4 linked regions of the Styela clava genome follow. The protein of the gene in region 4 purifies or fractionates together with the protein of the main gene of each other region. This does not show direct contact. Links are inferred from orthologs where the notes say so. Each region holds a gene or a part of one and is shown on either strand. Other genes may lie near its edges.

Region 1 (7,529 bases), on a different chromosome or scaffold from region 4:
AGGAAGGGAAATCGATAAATCTTTTATTGTTCGACACATCGACTCAATTTCTTCTTGTCCAGTTAAAAACACCAGAATGTCTTCTTGAGGATTTGATTCTTGATGGATCTGTTATTAGAAATGTTACAAATCATCCTAATCAAATTTCATAGAAAGGCCAATGTTACAGTTCTAAAATGTAAAAAAAAAAAACTTTTCTGCAAATTTTCGTAGCTTTCTAGACCCTTGAAGACTCTTAAAAAACCATATTTTTAAGATGATGCGATCTAACTTGGCAACTGGAATTTCAGAACCATCCCATGTGAAAATTCCTGGCTACGAGTACGACCCTGGTCTCCAACTCCAGATATCGAGTAGTCTGTAATAATGACTTCGGCTTTTACTTATCGTATATCTCCAGTAAGAACTGCACAGCCCTGACTCTGACTATGTTGCCATTGATAAAGGGAAATTGGTCTGAATACTTTGCGGTTCTACAGATTTCTACATGCCGTTCAGATTTTGCAGACTATACAGCGATTTCAATTCTTTGATCACTCAAAAGATAAATGATCAAATTATCATTTGCAATTTAAAAGAGTCTACCAATAGTCAATGACGCAAAATTATCACCTGAAATATAGTAACTAATGTTGCTCCGAGGTAGTCCGATTGTTTTTCTTCTGTGTATAAAATATCGATTTTATGTAACCGTCCTTCGAGGTAGAGTACAGGTGATTTGTTGAAATATTTTGAAAAATGATCTACGTCCATGGTAGCAGACATGATTATGATACGGAGGCTGTATTTACATAAGGAAAATAAAATACTATAATATAATGAAATGCAGGAAAGCAAGGCTCAGCTATACTACCAGTAAGATCCGAGGTTAGCTCAGCAAACTTCACTGAAAATATTGGCGCTCCAGAGTGTGTGTACCGATATGAAGGTAACTAATTTTGTTCACCTACTTTACATGAAGTTGTATAAAGGGACTGAAACCTATGGGCAGGGGGTATGGTATATTCACTTGGCTAACACAGTCGCCGACTCGTAATAGAACTAAAATTAGGAAAATTGGAATAAAATTATGGCCTAATCCTAACCTGGTACACACACTACAGGAATGCTGCAAAATGTAGAATTCATTATAAAAACATTCCCATGAAATAAATGAAACAAAATCTTGAAAATTTGAGTTTTTCCATTTACAAGAAATAATGCAGAAATATACTTGATTGAAAGATAAATAAAAGAATGATAGTCAGTAGTCACAAATTATTAATTTAACTAAACTAAACCCCCTTGTAAATAAACAGGGGTCAAAAATATAATATAAACAATAAATATCTGAATTTTTGGCAAATATTTGCAATTTATTAGTGTTGAGACATAAATTATTCAAAAATTAGTAAAAACATAAAATAACCTACCCTGGCAAACCTTTCTCTTTTCTAGACTTCTGTGCATCTTTTACGATTCCAAACAACACATCAGTATGAACAGTTCTTTCATGAGCTTCATCTAACAGAATGGATGAATACCTTGACAACAAACTGTCTCCAAGTGACTCTCTCAGCAACATTCCTGTGTAAGCAATAGTTGAAAAATTTTTTATTTTGGAAATCATTTTAAAAATTAAAGTCAAAAGTTCAAGCACCATTTCAGGAAAGTCAACGTTTCAACAGGGAAGATAAAAATTGAAAATGAATATACCGTCTGTCATGTATTTTATTCTTGTTTTCTCATTTGTACAATCTTCAAATCTGACGCAGTAACCGACTTCTTCACCCAACTTAACATTCAATTCAGCTGATACTCTAAAAATAAAATTACAAATCAATAAATTTCCTTTAAAATATCTCAAAACTTTATGGACACCCTGTTCAAAGTTGTGCCATACATAACCAGTACTTATGTCACATAAAAAAAATAAAACCAATTGATTCAAACTGTAGAGTGATTAGTATTTTGCCAAACCCAGAGAACAAACACTAAGGTTCCAAAATACACGAACAGATTCAGAACCGCTTTGAGGTAAGTAAGGGGCAAGCGTACTAACAGCAAGAATGCCCAATTTATGTGGTAATATTGGTATATTTATTTTAATTTGAATCCTGAATTGTGTCAAATTTTAAAAATAGAAATTACAGTTTTGAATACATTCTGGAATAACATTTTTCAAATATAGAATACAGAGTTTATGTTAAAATTGGGTCATACTGAACAACAAATATGATTAGAGCATTGTAAATTAATGGAGATTGATATTCTATTTACAAGGTTAGAAGTCTTGACCATAAAATTCCAAATTCTCAAAAGAATTTTAGTCTAGTTATTTAAAATAAAATATTGCGCAAAAATGATTTATATAGATGAATAAATTGTAGAAAATGGAGTAATCTAAAATATATGATTTCATTGTATGTCAAATTGCACAAATACAATTGCAAATCAAAACATAAATCTGTGGTTTTATAGTTATTCATTTTACATTTGAAGTTATGACAATATTTTCTATTGAATATACTGAAATAACATGAGCCAAATGTATATACCTTTGAGCAATAGTAATCGCTGCTACCCTTCTTGGTTGGGTACATGCGATGCAGCCTGTTTTGCCCAAGCCAGATTTTAACAAAAATTGAGGAATTTGTGTAGTTTTTCCACTAGCAGTTTCACCGATCACAATCACTGTTGGAGACTTTTTCAACTCTTGAATAAGTCTGTCTCTGGCAGAAAATATGGGGAGTGAACGACGAACAGCGGCCAATGCGTTTTGACTCAAAACTCCATTTTTGTGATGTTGGAGCAATCGCTTTTTCTTTAAAGGTTGGGGAGCGTTTGCTGGCGAAACCTCGAGAGCGATTCCCGCCATTACTAAGTCAATCTATTTTAGCTTTGTTAGTCACTTGGCATAATGGAAACTAGTCTCTTTAAACTACGCAAACCACAGAAACTAAATCTGTATACTTCCTTATGAATGGCGTCACAGAACACGTGGTTTGGTATTTTGATTATGACATCACATCACGCCATGGTGGCTACGTGTGTGTTTACGAATCGTAAAAAAACAGAATTGATGAAATCCGGGAAATTATTTGAACCCCATTATAAGATGGAGTATAGTAGAGAGAGATAGAGAGATATATTTATTATTTTATCAACCAAAATACATACAGTGAAAAAAATGTAACAGAAATAAAATTGCTGTGGTATGGACAGGATGGATTGTATTATTATTGTATAAACAATAATAAATCGGACTTTCTATCTCTTTTATTATTGTATCCTAGATTTATTCAGTGATTGCAATTTTGAGCAAATACGATCATTGCAATTTTATTTATACGGCTCTCCCTAGACAAATGCGAACCTAAAGCACATTAAAAAAAACTGGAAAAGCCAATATTTCCAGATTGATCAATATTCTTGAATTGGGGATAATAATAAAGACATTTGTAGTTACGCAAAACTAATTTTCAATTTTATACTTGTATTTATATTCATTCCAGTGGCAGTATAGTTGAATTTATTTTTTCGTCTGTATTTTTTGTCACTAAAATTATAATTTATTGCGTCTAAAACCATTATAACCTCAGATACAGCTTTGTACAGATATTTTTATGTGTAATTTCAAAATGAACAGAAATATAAATTCATAGAAAATGACAATTTCCGCATGTCATACCCATTTTCTATTCTCAACCATTGTTTACGACGGAGTGTGCACGCAAAGCGCGAGTGTCTGCAAAGTTGTTGATCTGCTGTGCAAAGTGAACGGAGGTTATCGAACGATTCATGAAAACAAGTTTGCAGGACAAATTAAAACTTTAAAAGCTTGGCTGTGTTTGTTTGGTCGGTATTTGGTATTGTAAAGTAAAGTACAAAGGGAAGAATGGATACCGATAAAAAAGAAGGCAGTGGTGATGCCAAAGTGGAAGTAAAAATGGACGCTGAAGCGGCAAAAGCTAAAGAAAAGAGACGTACGCGCAAAGATTCATCAAATAGCCAGAACAGCAGACACTCTGAGTCTGGAAATGGTAATGGAGTGTCAAACGGCGCAGTAAAACGTGCAGGAAAAATAGGTGATCGTAAATCCCGCACAATTTATGGCAGGGGATTGCCAAAGAAAGGTGGTGGAGGGGGAAAAGGAACATGGGGCCGACCCGGCGAGGAATTATTAACTGACGGTGTTATGGATAATAAAGATCCAAATTATGATTCAGAAGAGCAAGACAACGATATTATGTACAAGCCTGTCACACCAGTGTGGAGTGAAGATGAAATTATAAAGACTTTACAACCAATTATCAAAGAATATTTTGAACATGGACAGCAGGATGAAGTCCATGAATCGGTTGAAGGTCTTAATGTATCCGATCGCAAATACATGGTGATTGTGGTGTTGATAACACTCGCTATGGAGAAGAAGAATGAATTCCGAGAGCTGGCATCTCTGTTGTTGAAAAGATTAGTCGCACCATTGTCATCAAAAAATGACAGCGGGGAAAATGCTTCCAAGATAATATATTATGCAAACGCCGAAGATTTGAGTCATGCTTTCTTAGATCTTTGTGATAGTTTACCTGAGCTGGTACTCGATACTCCTGATGCAGCAAAAGTACTTGGAAGATTTCTGGCTCGTGCAATTTCAGAAAAGATAATCGAAGAGAAAATTTTGAGCCGAATTATTGAAGCTGCTTCTCTGAATGATGACGAATACGGAAAGTCTTGCGCAAAAGAAGCGCGTTTGCTCTTGAGTATTCCGCATTATAATTTGAGTCACATTTGGGGAGTCGGAGGTGGAAACCAACCCATGATTTTACTCAAAAAGAAAATTAATCTGTTGTTGAAAGAATATTTGTCATCTGGTGATTCCGAGGAAGCAATACGTTGCATAACAGACCTCGATGTCCCTCATTTTAATCACGAGGTCGTTTACGAGGCTATCATTATGTTGATTGAGTTAAGCAATGAACGCTCTGCAAATATGATGGTCCACCTTTTCAAAAGACTCGCTGATACTGTCGTTGTTACTGCAGACCAGCTCGTGCATGGATTTAAGAGAGTCTATGGAGAAATATCAGACCTGAGTATCGATGTTCCGAAGGCATATCCACAGCTGCAAAATTTTGTGAAGAAATGTCATGATCTCCAAATTATTGATGCAAAACTGATGATGTCTGTGCCAACAAAAAGTCGTAAGCGGTTTGTCAGCGAAGGCGATCATGGGAGATTCAGCGGAGGAAAATATGGCGATCGCTTTTTTGACTTAGCATAGACAACATGCTTGTCGGTGATTTTGTTGAGGTTTTATGTTTTTATTGATTTCTGTAGGTGGCACGGTAAATCTCAATGCTTGTTCTATGCGATAAGTTCCAGGAAACTACAAACTGTGGAAAAAAATTCTCTTTACAATATTTTTACTCAGTTATCAAAAAATATTTCGTCTTTTGCACTGTACCCTTTCACATATTATGAGCGATGATGATTATGGTTTAATAAAGATGTCAATTTATCATCTAAATGCAGTTTGCTTGCAAATTGTAACAAATAATTTGCTAGAGATAATGATTTAAATCTTTCATTATGTTTCAATGATATTCTTGATCTGATTCTTCTAAAATCCTGTATTTTTGTTGATTGTTTATTATATTAATTTGCCTTTTAATTTCGAGCATACACAAAGTTTTGCAAAAAAAAAATTTTCCCGACAAATTGAGAAAATTATTTACATATGGTTACTGTTGTTTCACATTGATAATTCAGGCCACAACCTATGCGTATCTAATTTTTCTGAAGACGATAAATTTTTCAAACGTTTCTGATTTTGCAATTTTAAGCAAATGAAATTCCTAATTTCATTGGGAATACACGATGTGTCCCAATCCTGACATTTTTTTGCGGCAAAGCGATATACAACTATAAAAACGTTTTCGTATTTCTAGTCATTGCTTTACTAACAGGAAATCATGTTTAAATATTGTTCCGCAAAATCTCAGGACTTATTAAATAACAAATTGGAAAAGTGACTGATAATATGAGTCAAGACTTCTTAAGTTGTATTTACCCATACATTGTTTGGTGTTCTCTGTTCCGAATCTTCTGGTCAATCCCTGGCATAATATGAATAAAAATGTTCAAGATGCAACAACAATATTATTTGAATACTTCACAGATAATTTGAAACCAATTTTTTTTAATCATTTCTTTTCATTTTGTCAAAAGTAAAACTTGCTTTTCAAAAATCCCTCTCAACCACAGAAAACCGCTGCACTGTAGATTTAGGCCAGAATCTTATTGTTGCTTATGGCTAGTTTATGGCATATTCTTCCTTCATATTTTGAAATTTCTTGGGTGCACGATCATGTAAGAAAATATGATATAATCTGAAAATTATGATTATGTTTTAACTTGATCATTTCCTATGACAAAATGAATTCTAGATTCTCAAGAATTAAGTACCCTGACTAAAATAATTTAGTACTAATGTATTTCATCTTACTGGTCCATAATCCACTTATCTTGTGCTCATGTCTGACAACAGGCAACATACTTGTCAGGTTCAAAATTGAATCGAAACTGCTCAATCGGCTGCCCATCATTGTATAATGAATAAGAAGAAGATTCTTCATGTTTCTGATATTATGAAAAAATGTCCGAGACTCCTTGCTCGGTATTCTGCACCACAGAATCAAAGAGCATTTTGCATTCAAATTATGTCCACGAGTAATTGATGATCGTAATGAAGATTATTTTTTATTTGAATTAGTGGTTAACCCTTAATTAGTTTTTTGCATTTTTGTTTATATTAAACCTGCGTTTTGTGTGGAATTTACTGTCGTTGAAGGAATGCGGTGTGGATTTGTAAATAAAGGTTGCAAAGAAACTGTTTATTTTGAGCTCTTCTTTCTGTGTTTAATTCAAGGTTTGTCAAGTCAGTTTTAGCTTGATGTTGTTGATGCCAAACTGGTTATAGCTAGCCAAGATCGAGTGTATTTTTTCCAACCAGTAAAAAAATATCGCACCAGCACAAATTACAAGAAAATGATAATTACACAGTTTTTCTGGCGAAAGTAATTCGCGGGGAACCAAAGCTGGTTATCGACACCCGAAGTTCTAATATCTAATTCAAAAAATTGGATTTTGACGGCGAGTACGGTATGACTGACACCACTTATGAAAAATTATATAGTACGGGTTATATTAATTGAAGAGTTATAAGACCAACAGATGGACGGGAATTCCCTATTTCAGCGTAGAACGTGCTGTTCCGAAAATTAGCCTGGGGAATTTTGAAAATAACTAGAGTCACTAGTAGACAGTAGGCGCGGCGGCGTGACTCATCGGCTAGGCGTTAGGAATACGCTAGCCACCGCATACTCTGCGTGGGTTCGCAGGTTCGAATCCCATGCGAGGATAGTTATGTACGAGAGGATTGCTGGACTCCTCGCCGCCGTAGGGTGCTTCACGTAACAGCCGGTCGGTTACGGCTTCCTCCAACATCAAGTCCATGCTTCCGAAAACAATTAACTAACTAATCCCAT
Region 2 (7,943 bases), on a different chromosome or scaffold from region 4:
TTCCACACTATCAACCAAAATCTTAACATCATGCTATCTAGCTAGAATAGCTAAATGATACCAAACATCATTCAACATTCCTTCAGTAGCACACTGTGGTTCATACTCCTGTTCTTGTTCTGAATATAATCATACCTTGTACAGTTCATTCCAAATGCGCTTAGACTGCCCAGCAGTGAAGTACGCACCAAGAACAACATTTTTTGTCCCGTCATCCTCTCGTACTAAATCCAAATCTTTTTCTTCTTTATAGAGATCTGACGATTTTTCAACCTGGAAGAAAAAGATGTAATTCAAAAAAATACTAGATGATTAGAACATGTTCGATAATTCTACCTAAAAATAATCTCACCTCAGCAGACAACGATTCTAAATCTGTAAATTTTAAACTAGGACGTTTCCTAGTTGATTTCTTCCCAAATGTTGACCCAAAACTTTCAGTGTCAAGAATATGTACCCGAGCATTCTGTATAAGAAAAAATTGAATTTGTTAGGTACAGTGACTTTTCAGTTTGTTACTGGCTTAATAGTGTAAGTTTCGTTTGGCATAATTAAAATTTCAGATATTCATTACTAATGTGCCCAAGAAAGGTCCAACCGGCTTCTTCTGAAGTGAAGAAAAGTAATACCAGATGCAACTAAAACTATATGGAACTTGGAAGTATGATGTCACTATCGGCCCCAGTATATATGGATTAAGGTGATTTGAAGCAATAAAATGCTGAACAAAATACTCGTACACCTAAAATTTTTGTGATTTCTCCTTAAAAAAGTTATTCATTTTTTGTTCAATTTTCAAAATCACACACAAAATAAATTATTACCTTGGCTCTGTCATGTAATAATGACATTGGTAATTTCCCAGTTCTTAACACAAGTTGATATGGATCCTTCATAACATTTCCAATTTCTTTCTGAAATCTCTGAAGATTTTTTTGAGCGATGACCCTTGTGTTACCTGCAATAGAATACAAAACTCTTATAGCCCATACAATTAAGTAATAATCTTAATTCCAAAACTTCCCAAAGAATTTATGAATAAGGGCTGACCTGGCCCAATGTTTCAACAGCCTAATTCTGGACAGTGTCGCGAGCCGAGGCCTTACTAATACTGATTAATATGTTATAAACCTGTTCCAAACCATATTTCCATAAACATATAAATATTATATAAAATTTAACAAACTGTGAGAGACCAGAAATATACGCAACTGTTCCTTTCTTCAAAAAATATAGTGGTTGTCATAAATAATGACTGTTTGTTTTAAGGGCAATTATGTCACACCTCCACAAAAAAAAAGTTCATAAATTAGACAAACTAATTTTATCATAAAATTATTAACAATTGCCAGATTAAAATTCTATTTATTGAGTAAAATATGTGTTCTTCATGTCTCAGTGAAATAAGACAGTTTAAAATGAAGTATAAACTTATTCAAACTCACCAAACCATCTTCGGTTTGGTTCCACTCGTGCTTGTGTACCAGATGGAAGCTCTCCTTGAAATTCAGGAGGTTTCACAATTTTTCCTTTACGATTTCTAGAAAGATTGATGTTATAAATGAGACGAGCTACAAATGAGTTAAATTAAATGTGCAATAAGAAGAAATAAAAACATAGTTTCAAATTAGTGGTAACCATTATAGACATTAATTAATCAAAATCAGACTTTACCTCACAGCCTTTCCACCTCTGTACATATTAAGTCTCTTTATTGTTGCCTTTGTTCTCATATTTTGACCTCCTTTGCCAACTTCTTTAGCTCGGTCTGTATATTTTTAAGAAGGCACAAAAATATATTTATTCACAATTGTATATATCCACTGTACTTAAATTTGAATCTAGGGTGAAATGGACATAATATGGTAAATTAATCCCAAAATCTGGATAATTCGAAAACAAGAGGAATTACATGATAATAATTATTTGTGCTATAGGATCCATATACCCAAATAATAAAGTAGTAATTGCGTATTTTGCATTCTCGAACCAGTATAAATTGGATTGCCAATTGAACATACGAATACTGTATATTAAAATATTAGATAGCTTAGTTTCAGTTCAGAAATGGCGTACTATTGATAGAAACATGCTATTCCTAAGAGTTTTGCACATTGATGTACATACCTGGATTATCTCCAGATGCAGATTTCCTTATCCTTCCTTCATTCCTTTTCTTAGTTTTGGCCATTTTTTGTTGTTACAAATCAAAACTATTAGTAAAGTATTATTGTCCTGTTGTCCTAGAATAATACTTTATACTGAATACATGATTATAATTAATAGGATTTATTGGAAATGGAAATTTCTGGTACAGAAATGCCAATAAAACTTGTATCGCTATTACTGTATTAAGTGTATAAAAATTACATCTAGATTAAATAAAAATGTCGAGGGCTATATATATACAATCATATTGAAATAACACGTACACTATCACAATGATAAAGGCTATACAAATATTAGATATACATGTCCAAGTGGATTTAGGTCTCTATATTTAATATACAGTCATCTAATAGGACCGGTATGGTTCAATTTTAGATGCAAAATAGGGCTGGATTCAGATATTTATTTTCATTGTACAGTTGTACAAGAGTTGAATGTAAAACAATAACTACATGAAAAAATACCAAAAAACGGAAAACATTGAATATTTTCAAAATATCTCAACTGTGAGGTTGGGACAATTCAACTTACATACAACTTCGAACCATTTCAAAAAATTCAAGTGCAGGTTAAAAAAAGCGCCAAAGCGTGAAATCCTGTGTAGTTTCGTACCTCAAGTATTTCTAGTAACGATCAATCTCATACCTTTATCATATACATACCTGATACATACCTTTATCATATTTCACCAAAACCTGTAGGGTCACATTTTGGCCAGAACAGCCATAGACCACTTATAACACTATCGCCCTTGAGTGGTGCATACCATATATGTACACACCCTTTAAACTTAACTATTCCCGCGTTTTATAGTATGTGGTATCATCACTCAATGGTGTTGTACATTCATCCAAATTCTTAATTTTTTAAAAAAAAATTTTTTATTACTATATTCATATGCCAGTGTATTTCATGTTGTGTTGTGTCTTTATTTATAGATGTTGTTTTGTCTAACAAACTCCTTTGTACAAACAGTTTTGTACACTCCACCCTTATCCCTGTTACCACATCCTGACATCCACCCACCCTCCTTGCACAACTGCCTGTATAAAGGACCATATTGTACATATTTGATTTACCCTATTATAATTTATATATATCAAAAGGGGTGTATGCCGCAGATCTGTGTTTTAGGCCAATATGGTCTTGTGCATACATCCCGTCTTCAGTATTTATAATTACTTACTCTTTTATATTGCTTTTACGAGACGAATAAACATACATACATACAACCCCACCATGACTAAGCCATATATGACACAGTCAGGTGGGGGTTGGGATTGATATATGCAAAGAATGTTATGCTACCACCACTAGAAGTAGGCTACTTTCAGACTTTAGGTCTGTAGGAACGAAACTACACAGCCAGACAGAACCCAATACCGGTACCGTACCACTATAAAACAAACAAAAAATCACCAAAAACTGCATATATATTCATACAGTCATACGAACACATTCATCCATTACCGGTACAGGCACCGCACGGTCGTACCCAAACCACTTTTTTTTAACTTTCTCCAGGTTAGCCTACCGGTATCTATTATTTTGATACGATTCATGATATCAATCCCAGCAGCCGGATGCCTGGTGAGAGATGATGAACACCACTCTGGAGGTATAAGTTACAATTACATCATTGACAGTCATCAATCAATGGTTACATAACCCAGAGATGAACGCAGGAACATGCCGTTTGGTAGCTGCAATAACGCAGGAGTCAATTTAAAATCGGACATGGTGTGTCCGGTTTGTTACATACATGGCTAAACAAGACTCATTCAAGACTTAACTCCTCAATGGTATATATATATATATATCTCGGTATGCTGCATTTAATTCAAAATACTCTAAACAAACTAACAAAAGAAAAAATGACACTGTTACAATTTCGGTGCAACCTACTGAACTAACCGGGTAATGGCACAATTCACCATGAGCGTTGGCTCAGAGCCTAGTGTTTTCTTCCGCTGCAGATGTTATTTTACCAGAAATTTCTACTCTGCTGAATATGGGAAACATTTTGAGTTTGAAGATAACGGTCAAGAATTTATTCAGCAAAATTCTAAAGTGAGTATATTTGTCAGGTGTCCAAATATTATATTGTTTGCTGGTTTGGGGCAAGAACTTTAGATAATACTTCAATATTGACCCAATTTCATTCCTGTTTTGTATATACATACCTTTATATTTGGTAAGTGAGCGAAGAATCTCTGTTTATGCTTCTATTTTAAAACATACCCAAGGTTTTGTCCACTCCATGATTTCTAAATTTCAGTTTTGTTTATATGTAATCTTGTATAATACTATCAATTGAACTTTGATTTTATTTATACCATCAGCCTCTTTTTTTATAGCTCTTAGAGGAAATAGGGTGTTCCACCCCAGAAAAGAAGAATAAACTGCTTTTTGTACTTGAAAAAGAGAGTACAAGAAGAAAAAATATAGATGCACAATCAGTACAACGGAAGAGTAAAATCAAGGCTTGTTATGCACCTTTGCACAAAGTGAATGTCTTGAAGGTATGATGTTATATATGCATCAGATGATATATTATTGCAATAAAATGTCCAAAAACAGGAATAAAAAAAATACAATTGCATCAAGTACATATTGAGTATCAAATCTTCTTAATTTAGGAAGAATATTTGAAAGAAGAATTTCTGGCCATTGTCAAGCATGCTAAAGAAGGAAATGCCACATTTGCAAGCTTGTCGAAAAAATTGAAGAAAGAAAAAGTAGAAGGCGTATATCGATTGCCAGTTTTTAAGAAGACATTTTGCAAAAACTTAGCAGAAGAACTTAACAATTTTGAAAGTAGCAATATGCCAAAAGGTCGTCCAAACACAATGAATAATGGTGGAGTGAGTATTAGAAATGCCAACAGTGTGCAAGGTGCCACATGCGCAAAAAACAACGCGCATGCTTACCGACAGTTTTTCCGTATCTGCATTGGCCAAAATCACCACCATCTACTAGGAAAACGCTTTCGATATGGAGGCAATGAATTGGCAAAATTTTTAGTAGTTTGTGGAAATTTTCAAGTACCATTGGTATCAGATTTCTTGTAGTTGTTATTAATTTATAACAAGCCTAAATCTCCCGCTTTTCAGATTCTACTTGATGAATTAGGATTCAATGAGGATTTTATTACACCGCTGCGTGAATGTTACCTTGACCCTATTGCGAAGATTCTATTCCCGGATTGGGTGGATGAAAAACTAGATTCTCATAAAGCGTTTACAGTCAATTATAAAGAAGATCAAGATTTAGACTTGGGATATCATTATGATAATGCAGAGGTAACCTTGAATGTGTGCCTTGGAAAAGATTTTGATGATGGAAGCCTATATTTTGGTTCAATGAGGCAGGTATGGGTTTGAATAATAATAGTTGCCCATTCTTTCGTATTCTGCCAAAAGAGGGATTATTAGTTTTTTTGTTCAACAGGAATGCAATAGGTCTGACAAGACTGTGGAAGTCAAACACAAAGTTGGTGAAGGAGTGTTACACAGAGGACAACACAAACATGGTGCCATGCCCATTTCATATGGCGAAAGAACCAACTTGATTATATGGATGAGATCTTCATCAATTAGAAACCAGCTTTGCCCTATGTGTGATAACAAACCCACACTCGCACCTGCTATTGGCTTTGGTGATGGATTTACAAGACATGACACACTAACAGTGCAAGTATGCAGTTTACATTAGCGACTCGTGCCACACTTAATCAAATACTACAATGTGAAAAGCTGCGTGGCTAATCAAATTTAAGAATGTTCCAAATTAGAAAAGGTATTTTTCAAATGTATTTTAGAAAAAGGTTTAGCTTGAGGCCCACAGCCTACTTAAATCGTGTCATTGCTACAGTTTCCTTCAATTGCTTTTGCTAAGTATTTTTAAATAATTAATTGCAATAAATATATTCATTTATAATAGAAAGCATAAAAGGGTTTCATTATTATCTGCGAAGAGAGTCTACTGAGAATATTATTTTATGATTCTAGCAGCCCGTCAATTCTATCTAGTCTGTGGATGATTATCAGTTATTGCACACACAAGCACACCAATTGCGGATAAAAGTATGCAATCGTCGATTCGTTGCAGATACCACTGAACCGTGCCACAGGTGCAAAATCAAATCAATGCATTGCACTTGTGGTATAGTCGTATTGCGGACTGGGCTGGAAAAAAAGCTCGCTTTCGAAGTGCTAGCCTGTTTACACTGACATTGGAAGAATAAAGCATTAATTATAATAATAAAAATATAAAACAATGCCACCGATGAATAAATATATAAGCAATCACCATATGGATACCAATGCGAATAATAATTGGACCAACTGATACAAAATGCTTCAGTGAACAACAAATTACCTAACAAGCATTTGGCAATCTTATCGGCTTCTATAAAAAATTGCATTGATATTTCTCTAAACAATTAGCTATAGTTTTGTCTCTAACAAAAGCATTATAAATCTATAGTGTTCTATTTGAAAACTTGCATCAGTGTTTTCAGCTTGTATACAAAGACTTGTCAAGGTTATCAATGCCAGCTTCAAACAAAACTTGAATGACGGATTTTATCCACTCGAAATATGCAGTAATCACAGGATTATGTATAATAAACTTTTGGTCATGATGGATCCACTTTTAAAAGATCATTAATTTGTTGCCGATACATTGCCTTTACGTCCGCTAGGTCCATCCTCAACTCTTCATTCTCTTCTTCCTTTTCTCCATACATGGTTAAGATTGCAGAATAACGTCCTTCAACATCAGCAAGTTTATCTTTCATGGTTTGGAGCTCCTTGGAAACACCTTCCAAATCTTCATTTAAATTTGTTAATCGAACTATTTCTTCAGCCATTGATGATCTAGTTCTTTCAAGCATGTTAATGTCACCTCGTAGCTGAGCTATTTCACCATCACGAAGCTTGATCATCGTCTGAAGATTTTCTAAAACATTTGACGAGGACATGGGCTTTCCAGAGTCTAATGACAATTGACTAGCTAATGTAGGGAGAGAATTAGAGCTCATATGCTTGTCAAATGTTTCAGTAGAATGGAATGCATCATTTGAGCTTCCAACTGACTCGGTTTCAACAAGCTGATTGCTGGAAACAGAAGTTATCTCAGATCTACTCCACATCATTCTCTCTTTCTCTTTTTGAAGTGCTTCATGCTGTGATGCAAATTTTTTTCGTTCCGCTTCCAATCGTACCTTTTCCATTTGTAGTTGATTTTCTAAGAAAAGACGTTCTTTTCTAGATTTGTGTACAGTTTCTTTTTGTAAAATTCTCAATTCTTCCAATTCCTCAGAAACCAGAGATGTTTGAGTTTTGTATTCATCAACTTTATTTTTCAATATATCTATTTCCTTAAGTTGCTGAGATATAGTGTTCTGAGCACTTTCAACTTGTTTTTCATAGGCAGATGCTTTTGATTTTGCTTCAATGGCACCATTCTGTGCAATTCTTTCATTTTCCCGGGCAGTTAATAACTCAGCTTGTGCTTCCCCTAATCTATTGTTCAATGTTTTCTCAAGCGCATTCCATGAACGTTGTTGCGATGAATGAGTGGCCTGAAGGTTTTCAATTTGCCTCAGGAGGGGCCTTGTAGTATTTGAAACATTATCACTCAAGTCTTGATTGCGTCCCTCAGATTCTTGTATCCTCTGTTGTAATTCTCTTATTTCTCTCCTGTGATCGTCATCTTTTCTGGATGCCGCTGCTTCAGACCTTGACACAGTGTTATTCAATTCCATTATT
Region 3 (6,893 bases), on a different chromosome or scaffold from region 4:
ATTATTCCAATTTCGTTCTTTATATTTTAATCATAGTTATCGTGTATTATTATTTTTTGCTTTGATTGGCACATGCTTCTTTACGCTATTTGATATCTCTATCATTATTATTATTACGATTGAAAACTGTTACAACTTAAAAGTTACTATCAAATGACAGAAATGTGGATGTTTTTTTATTACTCTGAGGTCTTCGATGAATAAATTCAGGATTTCTTGTGACAGGCCTCTATGTTCCACCACCAGTTATTTGATAATAATTTTTTGGTTGAATATAATTCTTATTATTTGATTTTTCTTAATTGTGGCTGTTTTCTCCTTTCTCTCTTTGCGCTGTATGCGAGCAATATAAAGTACTTCTCACTGAATTTATATTAGTCATTTTGTTAACAGGGTTCTTGGGTGGAAATGTGATTTCAAGAAAATAACACCGTGGTATTTATGTAGCAACAAAGTACTTGGAAGTTGCAATATCGGAGTCATGCCTTGGCTTACACCATAGATTCGAAATCTACGAAGTTTTTATTGGCATCGGTTAGTCCCCCGCGAAAAATCTATGACGAGAGAAATACTGGTGACATCAACTCTCAAATTGTCAAAGAAAGTTAGAGATAATTAGTATATATGTTGTGTATTTAGTCTTATTATTTTCACCGATGATTTGGATTATTTATCACTTTGGGGTGTGGTTCCCAGGCTGTGCGTAGCGAAATATCAATCTTTAAAAAATTATCATTTACCCGCCTCGAAAAGTTTACATGAAATGATCAAATCCGTTGAAAACGTACGACTGGAAATCTGACCGCGTTATGATAGTTTATGTGCGCATACAACATTAAGTATCGCATTTATTGAATATATATATTATTAGGCTTTTCACTGTCGTAGGGATTATTATGACAAAATTATGCGCTTCAGAAGTGTGTGTACCAATGTGGAGGTAACTAATTTTGTTCGCCTACTTTACATCAAGTTGTGTAAATGTAAAGGGACTGAAACCTATGGGCAGTGGGTATGTTCACTTGGCTAACACAGACAGTCCCCGAACTCGTCATGTAACTAAAATAAGGAAAATCGGAAATAAATTGTGGCCTAACCCTAACTTGGTACACACACAACGGGAGTACCTATTATTAAGCTTTTCACCGTCGTAATTCAGTATTATAAAAAATTCGAATAACCAATGGAATAATTTTGTATGTCAAGTCGCCTAGCCTTGTGCGACAAAGTCCCCGGGTGCACCTTCAAGTACTACACTAGATAAAGTTATAGGGTATCCTCAGGGAACACCTTTCTTCGAATTCGTTACATAAGATGCACTAACTCTAAAAGGTCAGTTTGGTAAGAAATGGTTGTTTATTTCTTGGTTTCCTCACAGGCAATATATGATTCCCAACAGATTTAAAAACCTACACAATGCTGAATGCAGCATTTACTGACAGTACTTTCCCCGACAAAGATGAGTCAAATCATAGTCAGAAAGTTCTCCCTATCAAACATGGTCAAGTTACAATCGTACTTGGGCCAGTAAGCAAAATTTATTTACCATACTAAACTGTGTGAAAAAATTATTTCCCTACTGGACAGTTATTAATATAAAGGTACACACTGAATTCCCTTCCTTGCTTACGATTTTTATTGTGGCCCAGTACGATGTGCTTTTCATTTGATGATTTCCACATGTCTGCTATGTGCTTTAATCAGTAAATCATTTTACATACCGGGAATTTTCACTATTACGGTAGTAACTCAAAACTTTTAAGGTGTTTACTACAAATTGGCTGTTGTTGACGTCTTAATGGGCCAATAGAAAATAACGCATTCGAATCCTCTTACACTCATTGTCTAGTTTGGATAGGGAGCAAACATGTAGTCACTTGCACAAACAACTCAATGAACCTACAATGTTACTCGTGTTAGCGAAATGATTGTTGACTGTTGGTCCATTTCGTTTCCATCAACTTATTTGTTTTCATACTTTCTGAATAATCACTGACGAATTCCACTGTGTAGTGAAACGCATTGATTTGAACGCACCGAAAGCAGCAACCTCATGAACCCATATAAATAAATTGCCGGCGTCAAACTTATTTAACTATGATTTGTGGTAAGTGATGAATACAACTGAAGTTGATCATTTTCCCAGGAGACATAGAAACGTCAATCTTTTAATCATAGTGAACTCAGCAGTAACTGCCTCCAAGTTCAATTGTGTGATTTCAAAAAAATATCTTTATAGTGCTGGTATAGTTATTTATCATATTTAAATATTCAGTAGTCGAAGATTGAAAAGTTTTCTGAAATTCCTCTATATTCAATTGCTTTCAAAAGTGATCTTACACACTTGGCTGAAAAATCGTCACCACGTCGGTTTTCCGCCGGTTGATTTTGGCCAGAAAGCCAGTCTGCTTCAAAGCTTACTATCGCCATCTCGAGTCAGCATTATTTGTTGCATCCGTAAATATTCGTGTACGAACTTCATCTTGAATGATGGCCTACCGTACATTCACCATGTACACGCCAGTAGGGTTGGATTTCGTCTCTCTATCATTATTGTTATCATTTTTTCGTGGTATAAACTTTAACGTTAAATCTAGCTAATCGTACGGCATATATTCCATCATTTTGTTTGTTAGGATAATATTTACATATTTATCCCGGTTCCTTATTTCCAAGCCGCACCACCCGTTCCAGGCACTACCTCAGAGAACACTTCAGTATCAAACTCAGTAATTATTAGGCTACTATGATGATTGAAATGGCTAATTTTGAGATCTCGTGTGAAATAATCTTGTTTGACCTTTTTGATGAATTAATCCGACTCACTAGATTGGCATATCCCCCTGATGAAAGCCAGACAAATCCAGAGATATGCAATTTTTTCTGAATCTTGAATTATTTAGATGGATACAATCAGTTAACACTAGAGTTAGGCACGTTTCCATACGACCATATCTCATTCTCATCGTATAAATACACATGTCTTGTTGAATATTTGTCAACTTTATATTGGTACCATTTCAATGTGTTCATATCTCTGTCTACCAATTTTGGCCCAGCTTGCACGATCCAACACCAAACAGCTATACGCGTCATTGTAGTCACTTTTCGGATATTATGCTTCTCAATCTGATCACCAAAGACAACTTTGTCACAATCACCATAACGGCTATTATCATTTCCAAATATCCTCACGAGGGGACTGCAATATAATTGCGTTGGGATTCAGATTGATCAATTTTACTTAGTGGGGGTACTACACACACGCTGTATAAAATGAAGGCTATCAACTTAAATACGGATAATTTCGTCCAATCAAAGTGAAAATATTTGGATGAAATTGGAAACGATTTATTCTCCGCTCTCCAGTCTGTTTGTACATGTGTAGTACCATATTTACGGTAGTACACGTTTCTCAGGCCAGCATTCCGTTATAGTTTGCTTTTGTACGTATATATTTTAAACACTCCTCGCAGGCTTCATCGGGTTTAGCATCGAGAGGCCATATGTTTAGGCGCTTTTATCGGCTCCCCCCCCCTCTCCCGGGATAAATATGTAAATTTTATTATATAGTTATTACAGGAGAAAAGAAGAGCATAATAATATGCCGATGTAAAGCCAGCTCTCCAAACCCCATATATCGAACGTAGGTGGGGACGGGCATTTCATTTCCTCGCTTTTTCATGGTTCATCTGTAGGTAGGTATAAGATTGGCGAGTGATGACGAAACATGCTTTCGGATGGCTGCGACCTGGTTTATAGGATATTGCATTGGTTAGGTTACATATGCGTGACTTAGTGGATTGGCACGCATTACAATTGATAACGCGATGAAATATGCTTTCGGAAATTGTATCGTACACTCAGAGTCAGTATGTGTGAATGTGAGTCATCTAACTCTTATCAACGGGCTAGTGCTATTTTCATTCCAACTTCGACTGACTAACTTGCGGTGCAATATTCTGATATTATAATAATAGTGTTACTGTGATAGAATAATGCTGTAATAGCAGAATAACCATGGCAGTTTTAAACTTGTCTGCCTGTCCCTTAGTCTGTTAGTTGTCGCTTTTTGGTGTAATTATTACGGTACGGTATACCATGCTATTGGATAAAGCAACATGCTGACGATGCAGTTCATTATGCCTTTCCAAGTGGCATAATTGCACTGCATCTGAAAACATGCTGCTGTCAGTCTTCAATATTTTTATATAAAATTTAACCCCAGTTCTTGAGAATTTTAAGTGAAATGTCTGATGTAATACAAAATGACAATGGACCCGAGGTGAAAAATGGGTCAGGTTTGGAAGAAGAAGTTGAAATTAAAAAAGAATCCGTGCATGATGACGTTGAAATGATGGATGATTCTGATCATGATGACGAGGAATATGAAGATGAAGAACTTCATGAAACTGAGAATAACGTAGCAGGTCAATATTTGAATAATTTAAAAATTATTTAGTGATTTTATATATGATTATAACAATATCTTTTGCTTTTTTATAAAATTGAAGTTTCAGGGTTTTGTGCAATATTATAATGAAAATTAAAATATCAAATAATTTCTGAATTGTGTTGTATTCAACTATAATAATATACTTCCATGTTATGTCGTTTGGCATCATCTACTGCTGTACCAAAATGAACCCCTCTCATCAATCGCAGTTGAACTATTCGATCAATTTATTGACCTATGGTAAATTGTACTACAGTACTATGTTTCTCGAGCACATGAAAACAACTAGAATCTAAATTTATGAAATTCATATTGTTTTTCAACAATGGTACCGGTAATCGAATATTATTACTTCATTTTTAATTACATTTAAACTTCAAATTTATATTAGATCTGTTTATTGAAAAGTTGTTCAGTGCCACTCACAGAGTTAGGATTTAATTGTCTGTTTGTATTGGGGCTTCATGGGCTCCTAAATAGGTTGTTCTATAAAAATTATTTTATGATAATCGTCTGATATATCTCGGTTTTTTCATGATTATTGTGAATCTGCTCAAATGCAATTTAATTTTTGATAAACTACTGAATATGGTTGTCCTGGTAATGTTTTTTGATCTGATTTTTGTATTCGGTTACAGATGGACAATTGCCAAGTAGCAACCTAAACAATAGTGAAGATGCCAACGGAGAAAATCAACCTGAAGGATTGCTGGGTTACAAATACAAAACTGTGCTCAAACATGTTTCCCCGAAGGCATCAACAGAGCCGTTACCCGAGGGATGGGTAGTTCTAACTCATACAACTGGTATCCCGTTATATTTACACAAGAAGACTAAAGTTGTTACATTATCGAGACCGTTCACTTTGCTGCATGGTTTTGTAGGGAAACATAAAATAAGACTTCAAAGTATACCGTGTCTATATTATAAAAAAAATTTAGAAAAATTAAACGAATTGAAAAGTAATGTAGAATCACAGATTCAGAATTCGAACGAAGACACTGAGCAGGAAGATTTGGTAAAAGGAAAGCAGGAGCAGAATGCTAACGGAGATACAGCTTCAGATGACAAAAGTCAACTTGATGGTGTCTCTCAACCTAAAGTTATTCTTCACGATCAAAGCGACATGTGCATTGAAGACAAAGAATTAAAAGAATATTTAGAAAAACGTTTTGTATTTGAAACATTAAAAATACCACGATTTAAAAAGTGGTCACAACGTCGAGACTTTACACGAAATATGCGAAGAAAAAAATTGGAAGAAAATGATGAAAATGATTCTTCAAAAGATGTAGATGCTGATACCGGAAAACCCGGGTCCGGAAAACTTATCACGTTAACAGTTGAGCAAGAGGTAGGCCCTGATGGTACAACCAGAAATCGAAAATTCGTTTTAAATACTAACGGAAAACCAATGGTTTGCATTCTTCATGAATATGCACAAAGAGTTTTGAAAGTGCAGCCCAATTATATTTTCAACACTCGGGAAGATTCTGCCGAACCATTTGAAACAGTGATCAAGCTGAATGGAAAAGTATATGGAACAGCAGTTGCGATTAATAAAAAGACAGCCAAAAATAAAGCCGCTCTTGCTACTCTAGAAATGCTTATACCAGGATTTAAAGGACAAGTAGAAGGCGCTGCTGAAACTCCAGATATGGCATATTTCAATGACGTTTTGATTACCGATTCCAGAGTCTACGAGTTATGTATACATACTGGACAGTTACTTCCATACCAAATGCTTACTGAGTGCTTGAAACGAAACCAAGGCGTCACAGACACAACAGTAAGTTACGACGTACAGCAGGGAAAAAGAAGATCGTTAAATTATACTATGAAATGCGGAATACACGTTGTCAGCGGAGTCGCTAAAAACAAGAAAATTGGAAAACAAATGGCTGCTCAACAAATCTTACAATTACTACACCCTGAAATAAAAACATGGATGGAATTGATTACCTTATACGGAGCTTCACTCGCCCAAGAACGAGCTCGAAGAAAACGAGAGGAACAGGAGATTTTTGATCTCAAACAAAGACGAGGAAATATAGTCGAAGAGAAGCAGGAAGAACCAAGTACGAGTAAACAACAACAGAAAAGCGAAGATTCTCTCGAACCTAACCCAGAATTGCTCGCTAAATTACAAGAAATGATGTTTAAATTAGAATCGGATAGAGGGAAGAGGAAAGCTGATAATGATAATGCATTGACAGCGAAAAAAGCAAAATTGACGCCAATGGAAGCAGCAGTTGCAGCGGGGAAAGGAATGCTTAATATACCAATAGAAATGGATTTGAGTAAATAATTTTGAGTAAAAACAATCATATAACTTTCAAAATGTTGCATTTATGGCTATTTACTTAGTAAATAGATTCATATTAGTTAAACAGAATATTGTACTATGTAGCCTACTTCTTATGCTCAGAAATTTTGT
Region 4 (6,853 bases):
GTTTCTGAGACTATCTGCACATTGCAAACAAATGCTACATCTAGGATACTCACTTCTCAAATTCTTCAGAATATACATTGGTTTTATAGGCTGTCCTGAGTTGGAATGTATGCTGAGTAGATGCTGTTGCATGGCACATAACATACAAAATTGTCCATTGACCTGACCTGAAAATGATGGATGTACATTGTACAATATTACTTATGTACCTAGTATATTTACGCCAGAAATTAGGCACCATTTTTATATGTAATTTTGCTCTGCTATCACTTCTGATTTGAAATTTGTACAGCAAAATTATTGAAGTTTATCATGATTTTACTTGTAAACAATAATTTTAGTCAAACAGTAATTTGACACAAATTAGAGGTTGAGGTAGGGGATCTAGTTAGTCCAAAAAAACTTGGATAGTCTGTTGCCCAGAGGCAATCTATCTTAATGAGGATGGTTACTTGGTGCATAATGTGAAAAAAAATTGATTTTCACAATTAAAATCCGTCTGTTTCCACAAAAAGACAAACCTATTATAAAAAAATAAATAGTTTTGAAACAATATTATAGGATTATTTGAATCTGAATAAAAAAAAAGTCTTACAATGTTTTCGATGATCCAAATGTATTAAATAATTAGCAAGAGGTGCAGTGTATGCGAGACATTGCAATGCCGAATTCAAAAAGCAGGTGTTTCCTAAATTACAAAGTCCAGATCCGGCACGCATAGCTTTCTTCCAAGACAATTCAACCTGTTTGTTACAAAAAATTAGATTTTTTTTCTTTAAAATTGATGATAATTATAACTTTTCTCTGGCACATTCTTGGTAAAGGTGTGAACTAATATAGAGTTCTCTTATGCATTATTGATATCCACCATGACAAAGTGAATAATACTATGGCTATGGTATTGTACATAAAACAAAAGCACTTAGGATAATGCACTAGTACTAGCGATAACGACTCAATTTGTCATTGTTAAATTTGACTCCCATTAAATAATTATCTTCCTTGATCATGGAATGGGAAATGTGACTTTGGAAAAGACTTAGTAATCAACCAAATAGCAAGCAAATTGATTCTACATATTCGAAAACTTAAAAATATGAATACTAGCAAAACCATATCATACTAGGTAAACGCATATACCCAATTCCTTCCTTATGACAAAATATCATAGATAGCTAAGTATCGTAATATGGCACAAAATTTGGAGAAAAACTATCAACAAATAGATTTTTAGTCTAGAAATTATAAGTCAAATTAAAGAAAGATTTAAAAAAAGAAACAAAAGACACCTTGTCAGCTGAAAATATTGTATGTTTAGGTGATGGTATCCCATCATGTCCTGTTCCAGATGTTTCAGTAGTGCTTGGGGCATTAACTTTAAGTGCTAAAACAGAAAAATACTAACGTGAGCATAGAAAAAAACAAAGATAACAAACTCGTACTCTGCTAGAAATTTCAGAGTGATTGGCCATTTTCGTCATAAAAATAACAAACAATTTAGCAAAATAATTAAAAAGCTATAGGTACACAAAATGCTCAATTAATCTCATTAAAACTCCTCGAACATAAGCAGAGTTTAAAGTTCAAAAAAAAAGGTTGCCAAACTAAGAGGGTCGGATTATATGCGCATAACTCTGATCGCACTAAAACTTCACCTTATACACGCATACCTCCGATCGCACTTGATAAATTAATAACTTAAACTGAACGATATTATCATTAATGACACGAGTCTAACAATATAATTCGTGCTAGATGTTAAATATTATTTCAGAGCTACTGTAAATTGCTGGGAATGCAAAAAATGCGCTGATTTCCTTTCATGTAGTTCTTATAAATATAAACACTAAACAGACACAGTCCTGCGGAGAATGGGCACTGATTATTTTGTTCTCGATCCAAGTATGTATGCCTCTAAACCAATTTGGTAAATTTGAAAAAATTTAACCTTCTCACTTGAAATCATTTTCGATGCACAGTTGGTTAAATAATAATTGTACTTTGGTACAGAAAATCGTGTAATCTAACAATCAGTCGATGAAAACTAAATGAATAACAGTTTAGGATTTGGAAATGGAAAATCCAAATTCAATTCGATCTAGTCTTCAATTAATACTACCTGGAGACATGGTGATTGAATTCTTAGTTGCTTCACTTTTTTGACTTGGATTTAGGATAACGTATTTTGATTTCAATTTCTTCAAGTTTATGTGATATGGCTGCTTCGCTTCTGTAAGAATTAAAATAAATAAATATAAAGGAATATGTTTTAGTAATGGTTGATGATGATGACGTGGAAGTCCAGAATTTTCTTCACAAACCAATTCATTGTCGATTAATAAATTTACAATATATTAGATTTGCAAAAAAATACAAATTTTACATTGGAACATTCCAGAATTGTATATTTCAAATTTTACAAATACAGTAGAACAGATACATTATTAAATTAACACAAAGTGATAAAAACAGGTCATTGGGAATACTGAAATTGGGTATAATCATACACAAAGAGAAGCTTAAGTGGTTGAAAAATATTCTTCATTTTTCGTATAATTAAACAATTTTAAGTTCTGTTTTTTAGGATCACCCTGTATATAAATATGGCTATAGCAAATTTTATAACTACCGTATTTCAATTTTCATTTGTATTAATGAACTTTCAGACTAACCTACAAAATTTATTCTTTGCAGCAAAACTTTCTTCGACGCGGCTCGAAGATGTTCATCAAGATCAAAAACGCCTTCCTCATTCTCTTCTCCACAATTGCCAGTGGAAATATGAGAATCCGATCTCAATGACTGAATGATTTGTTGCGATATCGTCATAATGCAAAAGAATTCCCATTACTCATCAATATTGACAACATATTTGATTAATTAATGAGCAGAAAATGAAGAAGACCTTTGTCCAGTGTTGACTGACAATATTTGGTTATCTACATGCAATATAATCGTTCTAGTACAGAACAATACCCTATCTGCAAACCTAAAAACTGATAAAATCAGTTATTAGTAAAATAGTTACTTCAATTCCAAGATGTCGTAATATTCAGAATATTTAGATAAAAAAACTATTTGTCCCTGAAACGTCTTATAATTAAATTCAATTGGTCTACAACTTAGGTCATCATAACGAGGTTACTAGACCTGCAGACAATTAAAAATCATTCATTTCTCACAAATTATGGTGACCAAAAAATTATCTGACCAATTAGCCTAATTACTCTACAATAGGATACAATTCTCCAATTTCAAGATGTCCCGACATTAGGTTTAATAAAACAAACACACTGAAATAAGGGCTTCTGGTGACAGATCATGCCATGCTTGTTTTGATAATGCATCAAATCAATCGCGACGTGCGTGGGCCGTCACATGAAACTTCGAAGACTATAAGTGCTACATTCAGAACTATTTCTGTATTTCCACTAGATGTTTTTCTGCTTTTATATTATATCTGTACCTGCAACATGATGCAGTGCTGTATTTCAGTATTTCCATATTTCTAGGGTAAGACAGTACTGCAGTAAGATGGGTTCTATCAGGGCAAAAATAGTCAAATTGTACAACAAGAACGACTAGATAGATAGATTTTATTATGATTCATTTTCAAAAAATAAACAATATACAAAAAAGAAAAGGCCAAGAATCAGGAAAGTGGACAAAACCTAAAAACAAGTTTATAACATATAAAACGCGTTCACCTACCGAAGGACTGAAGGAGTAAGAAAACAAGTCACAACAAACATAAACAAATAAACATGATTCCGCACTTCTGGAATAATCGGTCGATCATTATTCAGGTCAGCAGGTGTCTAACTTCATAATCAAACTACTGGACTAGCAGACTAGATTAGGTTAGAAATATTAGGAGGTACGGTACTACGACGGTACCAAGGTCTCGTGTAGTTTACCTCGTGTAGTACCGGTACCTAACATACTTCTGGTGGGCGTACGCTTTTGATAATTCGATTTAGGGGTACCGGTAACAATATTAAAAATGCCGGGTCTGGTATAGTTTAGTACCACATGCACTTCTAGTTTGCCTGGCTCAACAATTTTTGCATATGTCAATCCTCCCCCTCCTGACTACATCACAGAAAAATTACGTCATTTCGACGTAACAGTGGCGTAATAAGGCCCACCAAAGTATGCGGATGGTCGTCCAAAGCGGGCAGACGATCACCCGAATTCGATGCAAGCGATTTCTCTCGTTTTTACGTCACAACGATCACGATAGGAGAGAGATTGCCGGCTTGGGCGAGTTCGTTATCAACGGCGAAGATGCCATTACGGGCGATTGTAATTATAATTTGACAAGCCCTATGACGTGATAGTGACGTCGTAGTTGCGTAATTTTTGGATGGCATAGTCAGGTGGGGGTTAGGAATAACATATGGAAAACTCGTTATGCTACGCCAGTGGTTCTCAACCTTTTACTGACCGCGTACCACTTTACTGTTTTTTACTCCTGTACTCTGGCCGCGTACCACTGAAATAGCCCCTTTTTGGCGTAGGGAACAATGGCACAAGACACATGCTATGGGAGTATTTTATAACGTGGCACTACATCCTTAGTGACCTAATTCGCAAGACGGACGAAAACATGCCCATCTCGATTCGTTCGTGGGCAATAGCAGGCGAGGGCGATCTCTAAAGGCTGGACTGGTCCATAAGACTGTAAGACGTTTCTCTGACCCTTGACCCCAGAAAAATTCTTCCTATACTTTACTATTGCAAAAAATTTTGAAAACCTTCATTTTTATTAAAATTATTCAACCATGTGCCGCTTACAGGCACTGATAGCTTAGTTTAGATTAGTCTATCGCAGCATTTGCGAGACTCATTTTTGATTAAAGCAACAAAATTAATGCTCCTTTGAAGACATAATACCAATTAAGATATTTAATTCACAACTATTTTTTTTGAAATGCAACTGAAAACTGACAAATAACACGCAAAACTATAAAAACGAGGCAATGTTTACTGATTGTTGCTGGTTACGGAAATAAACAAGGAAATTGATGCACAGGGAAACATTCATGAAGGCCATTCAGCGAATACATACAGTATGGAAGATAAAGCGTTGTCAGGCATATTTTGGCCAACTCAAAAGTTAATTGTTGCAATAGTTCAAGGCTGCCCGCGTACCACTTGATCATCTTTCGTGTACCACTAGTGGTACGCGTACCACAGGTTGAGAACCACCGTGCTACGCCAACTGGAAGTACTTGTGGTACTAAACTATACTAGACCCAAAATGCCATGCTAGCAAGCAGGTTGCATGAATTATCGGTACCGGTACTGCTTTCGTCAAATTGCGGATTGGGGTCTAGTATAGTTTAGTACCACAAGTACTTCCGGTATATTTCAGTATTTTGCATATGCTATTCCTAACCCCCACCTGACTATGCCATCCAAAAATTACGTCACTACGACGTCACCATCACGTCATAGGGATTGCCAAAGTATAACTACGATCGCCAGAAATGTCATCTGCGCCGCCGATAACAAACTTGCTAAAGCCGGCGATCGTGATCGTTGTGACGAGAAAACGAGAGAAATTGCTTGCTCGATTTCGGGTGATCGTCTGCGCGTTTTGGACGACCATCCGCATACTTCGGTGGGCCTTATTACGCCACTGTGACGTCGAAATGACGTAATTTTTCGGTGACGTAGTCAGGTGGGGGTTAGGATTGACATATGCGAAAATTGTTGAGCCAGGTCAACTAGAAGTAACTTTACATGTGGTACTAAACTATACCAGACCCGCGGATTGTACTGCCTTCGGCTATAACAACCTACAAACCTAAGGCAAAAGTAAACTATTAACTCATCTGTCTGCCGGTACCATACCGTTACCGTACAGCCGTACATCACCAGCAGCTCAACAACCACGAGACTGTCGAGCTCACGTTAATTTGTCGTCGAAGCATTCAAGGTGGACGGAGGTGGGATTAACCAGATCCGGATATTACTTAACATATTAATACCACGGCTTCTCTCTCCTTTCCGCGGGATCATTTAAAGGCTCTCTCGTTTTGACGATATGCTTCCTTTGCCCAGGCGCGTAATGCATTTCTTATGAGATTTGACACAAAATAAATTATTTGCGTGAATTTTTTTCGCATATTCTCCTGATCTTGACTTGTTTCCCATTATATATCAAACGCTTATATATCCCAGCCCAACATACGGTGCTAATTTTGGCAGTTTTAGAAATTTGCTTGAGTCATGGTTAATAATATAGCCAATATATCAGTCAAAAGCGAACAAAAACGACCACAGAACATTAGCCAAGATGGCTTATCGGAATCGCTTCCCCATTCACCTGTATTTGCCCGTATTTTATCGCCTTAAATATTTTGCGTGGCGATCTCAATATCATTGCGTGGCCTGGTTCCGTAATAGGCTGGGATTGGATAGGATTTACATATTTATCCCGGGGAAGAGGAAAGCCGATAATACGGCTTAATCATATGGCAAACCACGGCCTCTCGTCCGGTTACCAGTCCAGGTCGGGTATGGGATTAGTTAGCCAGTTATTTGTTTTCGGAAGCATGGACTTGATGGTGGAGGAAGCCGTAACCGACCAGCGGTTATGTGAACCACCCTACGGCGGCGAGGAGTCCAGCAATCCTCTCGCACATGATCATCCACGCATGGGATTCTAACCTGCGAACCCAAAAAGGGTCATCAGAGATGCGGTGGCGAGCGGATTCTTAACGCTTAGCACGATGCGCCACACCGCCGAGCCAAAGTACCCGAGCTATAAATAAATAGATCTAAAGGGCGCTCTAGAAGTGTGTACATTGATATGGAGAAATATTGTTCGCCAACTTTACATCAA

The links.
Region 1: the proteins of uncharacterized protein LOC120337459 (region 4) and ATP-dependent RNA helicase DHX33-like purify together in Homo sapiens (affinity purification with mass spectrometry; 5 studies listed by BioGRID and IntAct, counting the BioPlex papers as one, with this or other methods). This does not show direct contact. The link is inferred for Styela clava from reciprocal best matches to the Homo sapiens genes USP36 and DHX33.
Region 2: the proteins of uncharacterized protein LOC120337459 (region 4) and uncharacterized protein LOC120325942 purify together in Homo sapiens (affinity purification with mass spectrometry; 3 studies listed by BioGRID and IntAct, with this or other methods). This does not show direct contact. The link is inferred for Styela clava from reciprocal best matches to the Homo sapiens genes USP36 and GNL2.
Region 3: the proteins of uncharacterized protein LOC120337459 (region 4) and microprocessor complex subunit DGCR8-like purify together in Homo sapiens (affinity purification with western blotting; 3 studies listed by BioGRID, with this or other methods). This does not show direct contact. The link is inferred for Styela clava from reciprocal best matches to the Homo sapiens genes USP36 and DGCR8.

Annotation. Positions count from the first base shown.
Region 1 is NC_135262.1:5,471,305-5,478,833, reverse strand, and holds the start of ATP-dependent RNA helicase DHX33-like, read right to left. Parts: upstream 3,013-7,529; 5' UTR 2,858-3,012; coding exon 2,538-2,857; intron 1,800-2,537; coding exon 1,696-1,799; intron 1,567-1,695; coding exon 1,413-1,566; intron 782-1,412; coding exon 613-781; intron 109-612; coding exon 1-108. Other genes in the region: programmed cell death protein 4-like, read left to right, coding at 3,878-5,263. UniProt on the Homo sapiens protein: Implicated in nucleolar organization, ribosome biogenesis, protein synthesis and cytoplasmic dsRNA sensing. Stimulates RNA polymerase I transcription of the 47S precursor rRNA.
Region 2 is NC_135253.1:12,000,879-12,008,821, forward strand, and holds the start of uncharacterized protein LOC120325942, read right to left. Parts: upstream 3,021-7,943; 5' UTR 2,843-3,020; intron 2,268-2,842; exon of another isoform or gene 2,244-2,267; 5' UTR 2,192-2,243; coding exon 2,128-2,191; intron 1,769-2,127; coding exon 1,675-1,768; intron 1,541-1,674; coding exon 1,446-1,540; intron 959-1,445; coding exon 825-958; intron 467-824; coding exon 353-466; intron 274-352; coding exon 136-273; intron 1-135. Other genes in the region: 2-oxoglutarate and iron-dependent oxygenase domain-containing protein 2-like, read left to right, coding at 4,090-4,239, 4,527-4,691, 4,809-5,033, 5,283-5,540, 5,620-5,883; TATA element modulatory factor-like, read right to left, coding at 6,809-7,943. UniProt on the Homo sapiens protein: GTPase that associates with pre-60S ribosomal subunits in the nucleolus and is required for their nuclear export and maturation.
Region 3 is NC_135250.1:22,757,736-22,764,628, forward strand, and holds the start of microprocessor complex subunit DGCR8-like, read left to right. Parts: upstream 1-3,877; 5' UTR 3,878-4,249; coding exon 4,250-4,430; intron 4,431-5,094; coding exon 5,095-6,764; 3' UTR 6,765-6,893.
Region 4 is NC_135259.1:3,939,883-3,946,735, forward strand, and holds the start of uncharacterized protein LOC120337459, read right to left. Parts: upstream 3,012-6,853; 5' UTR 2,830-3,011; coding exon 2,673-2,829; intron 2,231-2,672; coding exon 2,120-2,230; intron 1,385-2,119; coding exon 1,290-1,384; intron 744-1,289; coding exon 596-743; intron 168-595; coding exon 54-167; intron 1-53. UniProt on the Homo sapiens protein: Deubiquitinase essential for the regulation of nucleolar structure and function. Required for cell and organism viability.